2 linked regions of the Daphnia pulex genome follow. Each later gene encodes a partner of the first gene's protein in a complex. Links are inferred from orthologs where the notes say so. Each region holds a gene or a part of one and is shown on either strand. Other genes may lie near its edges. The genes, in order: actin-related protein 3 and actin-related protein 2/3 complex subunit 4.

Region 1 (4,314 bases):
TCCATAAAAGTGCTAAAAGTCTGTAAAGAAAAATTGGCGATCGTTACATTTGATCCTACAGGAAGCAAACCGTTTTCAATATACCCGTGTTCTTATAAGCTACTATTTTTGTAGCGCGTTGCCCAGCGATATTTATTACGTGATATTGACGGGCCCTGAATGAGGATTTCTATTTCCTGTCGTTGGCAGAAGAGAACGTTATTAGCTCTCTTTGGTGTAGCTAAGCTGAGTGAACTAAAACTCGATCCCAGTCGAGTATAAAGTTGACTTTTAAAAGAAAAATCGTCACGTCGTTGCTGTGTGGTTCCTTCCGCCGCTTTTGCTTCATGGAGTTTTTAAAAAGAAACTACTTGAGAGAGATATATGCGGTGTAGGGCGAATGGACAAAGGGAAAGTTTCAAGTATTCTTGTACAACTTCATTAGAATCGGGAAATGTCAGTATAGCTTATGGGATTAAATATGCCAACTTGCTGAAATTTGTCGTCACTTTGGCTGGTAATTTTAACGTACTTAACAGTTTGCAAGATTATGTCACCCCCCAAAAAAGCAATTGCTGTGTGTGAGTAATATGCTGATAGAGCGATAGATACGAAAGTGAGGGCTAAAATTCAAAAGCCATTAGGATGCGGTGTGACGCAGAGTCAACATTTTCCTTTAAGATAAAGAAATGAGAATATTAGCGATATAAGTTTTTCTTTTTAGTGTCAATATTCTCATAGAACATGACTGTCTCAAATTTAGTTGGAATGCCGTGTCATGCAGGAAAAGATGAGAATGTTCATTGTACAAACACAATGGCCGTACTGAAATGAAATGCTCCCCTGTAGATTTACCGTCTCGGTTTAAATAGCCTGTGGCGAGTTTTGCGCGTGTATAGAATGGTGAGTTTGACTTGCAGACCGAATCAGAATCCCCAGTTACTCGTTTACTGAACCGTTGGTTGCCACGAAAGCCCCATCCAATAAAATCTAATTGGTTTCAAGGGCAGGAAGCAAAAGATGGTAGGAAAGAAAATGAAAAGGAAACAACCCTTTTTTTTTTTAAATTGAAAATTCAAACTTGATTGCTAGACCAAAGATGAAAGAGCAGGGGTATCTGGTATCTTCGACTCGTGAGGATAGGGTCCGGATTTCCGGATAAATTTTTTTCTGTTTCTCATCAAGACCATAAATTTTTTTTATTGTTCCTTAAAATATCTTTTTTTTATGACGAAAACTTCTTTTTACGTCACATATGGTTGCCTTCTGATTTCACAAAAGTTCAATCAGATTCATTCAAATCACGCTAGATGTCTTCAAAATCTGGCGCAATTCAATTTTACCAATCGTTATGGGATGTTTTACTTCTTTAACGTCCACCGTTTATTAACCATTGGAATAACTGAACTATGGCCTTATCTCCGCATATGATAAATAAGATAACCTTACCATGTTTGTCTCATTAAAAAAAAAGAAAAAAAATCCTTATCAGATTGTCAGAGGAAGTTCTGTTGCCACCTGGTGGCCGTAGTCTGAAACTGCCAGGGGTGGGGATTGAACACTCATCGCTCTAGACGCTGCCGGTGTTTCGAATTAAGCTAATTTCGTTTACAATTTCTGTGTCTAATCACAATAAGGATTAAATCAGAGAAATAGTGTTAAAGGTTTTAAACAATAATTGTGTGAAATGACCGGAAGATTACCGGCTTGTGTGATTGACATCGGAACAGGGTAAGGATATGCTTTGGTCTGGTCTGTCTGACAGACTGCAATCTCATCTCAGTGTGCCTATTCTGGAAAGGTTGTTAACACTTCTAATAAATTTTTGTTTTTTTTTAGTTATTCCAAGCTTGGTTATGCTGGCAATAAAGAGCCTCAATACATTATACCTTCAGCCATTGCCATTAAAGAAACAGCAAAGGTTGGTGACCAAGCTTCGAGAAGGTTAGGAAAGGGAATCGAAGATCTTGACTTCTTTATTGGTGACGAAGCCCTCGAAGCAGGAAATGGGGGATATTCAGTCAAAGTATGACTTTTTTTCATTCATAACTTAAATTATCTTATTTTTAAGTAAGTTTTAATGCAAATGACAGTTTGTTTACATGATTGGTAACAAACACCTTACTTATGAGATTTGTCAATTCAGCTATTTTTCAAGTGGAAATAGTTATTATTGAAAACAGATCATTCATTTTGGTTTAATTACCATTGCAGTATCCTGTACGTCATGGGATTGTTGAAGATTGGGACCTTATGGAGCGGTTCTTAGAACAGAGCATATTCAAATATCTGCGAGCAGAACCAGAAGACCACCATTTCTTGCTAACAGAACCCCCTTTAAACACCCCGGAAAACAGGGAGTACACAGCAGAGATCATGTTTGAATCTTTCAACGTTCCCGGTCTGTACATAGCTGTTCAAGCAGTCCTTGCTCTGGCTGCCTCTTGGACCTCAAGGCAGTTGGGTGAAAGAACCTTGACTGGTATTGTGATTGATAGTGGTGATGGTGTTACCCATGTGATCCCAGTGGTAACTGATATTATTATAAATAATTTGCTTTTCATTTGGGCGCTTTCTAATTGTTGTCTTGATTTTTGTAGGCTGAAGGATATGTTATTGGAAGTTGCATAAAGCACATCCCAATTGCAGGTCGCAACATAACCTATTTCATTCAATCCCTTCTCCGTGAAAGAGAAATTGGCATTCCACCTGAGCAATCGCTCGAGACAGCCAAGGCTGTTAAAGAGCGCTACTGTTACATTTGTCCTGATATTGCAAAAGAATTTGCCAAGTACGATGCTGAGCCCAATAAATGGATGCAGAAATTCGAAGGCCTCAATTCCATCACCAAGCAGCCGTTTGGCGTTGATGTTGGCTATGAGCGTTTCTTAGGACCCGAGATTTTCTTTCACCCAGAGGTAGATTTTATTCATTTTCGTCTGCATTTTGCATTGGCTATTGTAGACCGAATCATGTTTTCATTCATTTTGATATTGCAGTTTGCCAACCCCGATTTCACGACCCCTATATCAGAAGTTGTTGACACAGTCATTCAAAACTGCCCTATTGATGTGAGGAGGCCATTGTACAAGAACATCGTATTGTCGGGTGGATCGACCATGTTTAAGGATTTTGGTCGGCGGTTGCAACGAGATATCAAGCGTGTTAGCGACGCTCGGCTCAAAATCAGTGAACAGCTGAGTGGAGGCAAACTGACGGTGAGTTTCCACTTGTATTTAAGAGTTGTGGTCGAATGGGTTGGCTGAACGGGATACGCGACGGTTCCCACATCCAGGAACTGGCGTAATAGTTGTAATTGAATATTTTTGTTCTTGGTTTACAGCCGAAACCTATTGACGTTCAAGTGGTATCGCACCACATGCAACGCTATGCGGTATGGTTCGGTGGAAGTCTACTTGCTTCAACGGTATGTGATAGCGATAAATTACGTAAGAAAGGAAATTAACTGACTTATCTTTTTTTTTTTTTTTTTGGCTTTCTCTCCCCGGTTTGCAGCCTGAATTTTATCAAGTGTGTCACACTAAAGCTGCGTATGAGGAGTACGGGCCGAGCATTTGTAGGCACAATCCAGTGTTTGGTACTATGACATAATTACCTGTAGAACAAAAACAAAAATCAAGGTACAGCGCGCAAAAAGGAAGCGCCATAAGGCATCGATCAGATCGAGGTTTCCTCTGTAATAATTCAACAATGTGTAAGGAGGGCCGTATCAAATGTAATTATCATTTTCACAGAGAGGAAAGTGAACAAGTTCTTTTCCGTTTATTTTTCTCCGTTTATCCTTCCTCATTTGACCCTCAATTTTTTTTTCCTACTAGCATTTGTTTTTGAATCCAGTCCGCTGTTTTTCCTGACACCATGCCTACCCCGTTTCCTCCCTCTCCCAAGTTGACTTGTCTCCCCCCCCCCCCTTTTACTCGAGAGAAATGATGGTGCTTGTTTGTTTTCCTCTTCCTTCTGGTCTTACTTTTCCTTTTTTTTTTTCCTTTTTCTACATACTTTCCAATTTTAAGTTCATGGGTGATTTAGGGTGAGCAACTTGAGTTGATTGGTAGAACCGGATTTGTTCAAGTGCCTGTTGTTTGTTGGCTTTTCTACCATTTTCCGTCTCTACTAAAAAAGAAAAGAAAGATGTTTTTCTTTCTTTGCGCCGTCGTGGTGTCTATTTGCCGAAATAATCAACTGGGTTCATTATCATCCTTAATTTTATTAAGTGATTCAGCATATACCGAATAATTGGATGACAGTCATTCCTTGTCTATTTGTCGTCGAGGCCAAGTGTGTGGTTGGGTGGAAGCGTTCGCTGTTGCAAAT
Region 2 (3,345 bases), on another chromosome or scaffold:
TGACGGCAAAAATAAAAGATGCTGCAGTTGAACAACTTATTTTGGATGAAGATCCTGTTACTTTCCGAAGATTTCTTCATTTTCTCTACACTGGTCTACTAGATGACTGTGATTATTATCTCATAGATATGAAAACGTATGCAAAGAAATACTTCGTAGATGAAATGCTTCCTAAATTTACCGCAAATGGAACAATGGAAAAAATGGTCACGAAGTATTCTTATATTTAATTCATTTAAATTTCATAAACCATAAATTGATATATTTTTAGATGTGAAGCTGACGTGAACTCACAATTAACGAAAGGAGGTGTCGTAATGCAATATTCATGGACGTTGAAAAAGTTGCCAACTTTGAATCGCACAACTTTCTCTAATAAATCAAAGGACGGTATGTGGTTCGGCGTTGGTATTCAGTGTGTACGTATCATCCCATATACAAATTGTAGCGAGTTCGACCTATACTTTTTTACTGGTCGAAACAGTCGAGTGGTTGGTGTCTCATACTTCAACAGATGGGATCCCTGTTCACAGAAGAAACACAACATGGATCTTAATAAAAATCTGGTCTTCACAAGCAATTTCTCCGTTGCAAATGGATACAAATGTTACCAGTTCACGTTCTGTGTGACGATCGAACAAGCGGATAATGAGGAATATCGATACGAATTGCAGGACAGTCTTTGCCCAACTCAGCTTTGGCGTTCCGCTTTGGATGGCATGACCACCGATGTTCAGTTGCTCGTCTCTGGGCGTATCTTTCATGCCCATCGATGGATTTTGGCCGCCCGGAGCCCAGTTTTTGCCGCAATGTTTTCCCACGACATGCTCGAGGCGAATACTGGGTGTGTTGACATCAGCGACATTACACCAAGCATATTCGAACAAATTTTGTTCTTTATTTATAATGGCCGCATACTCGACTCTACCCCTAATTTACTTCTATTGGAGGCAGCTGATAAATACCAAATAGAAACGTTGGTTTTCATTTGTCGGGCTTCTTCATCTCCAATGGAAAAGGACAGTTGATATGGTGATATGTGCTGCATCAACAAATCAGTGCAACAAATTAGTGCAATCGTCAACAAATTAGTGCAATCGTTACTTTGATTCTATGTTTGTTAACCTATTATTTCTCAAAATAAAACAAATATACCGGCATCGACTGCACGTAGCGGATATCTATCTGCATATATCATTTCTAACGCTCCCTTAAAAAAACACACAAAACAAAAGTTTAGTTATAGACTTATCTTCAATTCTACCTATACAAGTAATATATAACAAACTAACAACAAGTCTTAGATCAAAGATATTTACGAAACCCCTAAGGACTAAAACTTGTTTATATTCGGCTTGATTTGTGATCTGTGATCTCACGGTAAATTTCTTGAATAAAGGAAATTGATTGATTGATTTTTTTGCTTTATTTAATACGGGCCCTCTACTGGCAGCAGATTGAACTGTTTCCATTCTTCGTCGGTTCCCATGTTATCTTAAAAAATTGCGGTTTTTGACAGATCCGGCCCACCCCACTGAAAAAAGCCAAAGAAAGCACTAAATTGAGTAGGGCCTAAATAGTGTCCGTGGAACATATTCTTGAACTATCTTAAGATTCTACGCTTTTCAGCTGTGCAAATTGCAAAAAATGGTTAGTTTGCTCTTAAACTTCTGTGTTGTGATTCAAACCCAGCTAATCCAAAAAGAACTTTGAAAATATTATGTTTTGAACTCATCAGACAAAAACACATTTCAAACACTTTACCACACCCTCTTCCTTTTATCATTCCTATCGTCTTATGTGTACACGTATAATTAATATTTTGTCATTTTTAGTCAGCAACTTTGAGGCCTTACTTGTCCGCAGTTAGAAGTACACTGGAAGCTGCAATGTGTTTGGAAAACTTTTCTTCCCAAGTTGTTGAAAGACACAATAAACCTGAAGTGGAAGTCAGGTAAGGTTAAATGAGTGAAAAAATTGAGTAAACATTAATAAATACTATTTTGAAACATAGAACAAGCAAGGAATTATTACTGAATCCAGTTGTTATTTCAAGAAATGAGAAAGAAAAAGTCTTGATAGAAGCCTCTATTAATTCTGTTCGGATTAGCATTTCTATCAAACAGGCTGATGAAATTGAAAAAATTCTTTGCCACAAATTTATGAGGTTCATGATGATGCGAGCAGAAAATTTTGTTGTTTTGAGACGAAAGCCTGTTGAGGTAAACTCTTTTTAACATATTCTAAAATATGTTGTTAAACTCTTTTTAAAATATTCTAAAATATGTTGTTAAGGTAAACTCTTTTTAAAATATTCTAAAATATGTTGTTATACATTGATAATTTCTCTAGGGTTATGACATAAGTTTCTTGATAACTAATTTTCATACTGAAGCCATGTACAAACATAAATTAGTGGATTTTGTCATCCACTTCATGGAAGAGATAGACAAAGAAATTAGCGAAATGAAATTGGCCGTCAACGCACGAGCCCGTGTGTGCGCTGAGGAGTTTTTAAAGCGGGTGTGTTTTACTGTCAATTTTTTCATCAGTTATTACCGACTAACATTTCCCATTTTTTAATAGTTTTAATTCGAGAATTTATTGGATAACTGGAAGAAAATTGAGACCAGATAATTCCCAAGTTTATTTGCATAAAAACCTGTTTCCAAGCCAAGCTAATTCAGTAAAATGATCCGACTTGTGTACAATCAGATAACTCCTAGTTTGAGTTCATGCACAAGCTCAAAAAATAATAAATGAAAATATTACAGAAAACTATATTGTATTTAGTCAAACTGGAGTGTGCATATTTCTTGATAATATCTACTTGGAACAATATCAGTGCTCCGCAATTAGATAGAAGGAGCTAACCAGTTCAAAAACTTCAAAGCCATTTCAAATCCTAAGAAGCAAACGGCATTTGCAGGGAAGGCTCTTTAAAGAAAAATGGACGTTAAAAAATGTTATCAAAAATTCTTATTTAATTAAATATGTCCCTATTACCTAAGAAACACTGGAACTGCTCCTCTATAGAGAGCTCGAACACCTTCTTCGCGCATCAACACTTTAAAGACGTCACGCACTCCATTAGGATACGTTCCTTCGGGAGCTTCAAGTGGGAAAATAATCGAAGATATAAAGTTATCATATTACCTTTCACTTAACTCATTTATTTAATAGCCTAATATCTGATTCTATTAAAAAATATTACCTGTTTGTAGTCTACTCTTCAGTACATCCGGTGGGATGGCAATAATCCAGTTGGCGATTCCTGCCATTCCACCGGCAAACATTGTCCGAATTGGGCTTAATTTCCCGTCGGAGTTTTCTGGTGCAAGTGCA

Evidence for each region.
Region 2: actin-related protein 3 (region 1) and actin-related protein 2/3 complex subunit 4 share a complex: the UniProt entries of both Caenorhabditis elegans proteins name them as parts of the arp2/3 complex. The link is inferred for Daphnia pulex from reciprocal best matches to the Caenorhabditis elegans genes arx-1 and arx-6.

The regions. Positions count from the first base shown.
Region 1 is NC_060017.1:5,490,810-5,495,123, reverse strand, and holds the start of actin-related protein 3, read left to right. Parts: upstream 1-1,503; 5' UTR 1,504-1,666; coding exon 1,667-1,710; intron 1,711-1,818; coding exon 1,819-2,005; intron 2,006-2,193; coding exon 2,194-2,508; intron 2,509-2,579; coding exon 2,580-2,897; intron 2,898-2,978; coding exon 2,979-3,197; intron 3,198-3,322; coding exon 3,323-3,406; intron 3,407-3,495; coding exon 3,496-3,591; 3' UTR 3,592-4,314. UniProt on the Caenorhabditis elegans protein: Functions as ATP-binding component of the Arp2/3 complex which is involved in regulation of actin polymerization and together with an activating nucleation-promoting factor (NPF) mediates the formation of branched actin networks.
Region 2 is NC_060028.1:5,631,699-5,635,043, forward strand, and holds actin-related protein 2/3 complex subunit 4, read left to right. Parts: upstream 1-1,475; 5' UTR 1,476-1,647; coding exon 1,648-1,650; intron 1,651-1,835; coding exon 1,836-1,954; intron 1,955-2,014; coding exon 2,015-2,222; intron 2,223-2,352; coding exon 2,353-2,523; intron 2,524-2,586; coding exon 2,587-2,592; 3' UTR 2,593-2,778; downstream 2,779-3,345. Other genes in the region: uncharacterized protein LOC124209792, read left to right, coding at 1-214, 272-1,028; mitochondrial carnitine/acylcarnitine carrier protein-like, read right to left, coding at 2,856-2,937, 3,007-3,112, 3,215-3,345. UniProt on the Caenorhabditis elegans protein: Functions as actin-binding component of the Arp2/3 complex which is involved in regulation of actin polymerization and together with an activating nucleation-promoting factor (NPF) mediates the formation of branched actin networks.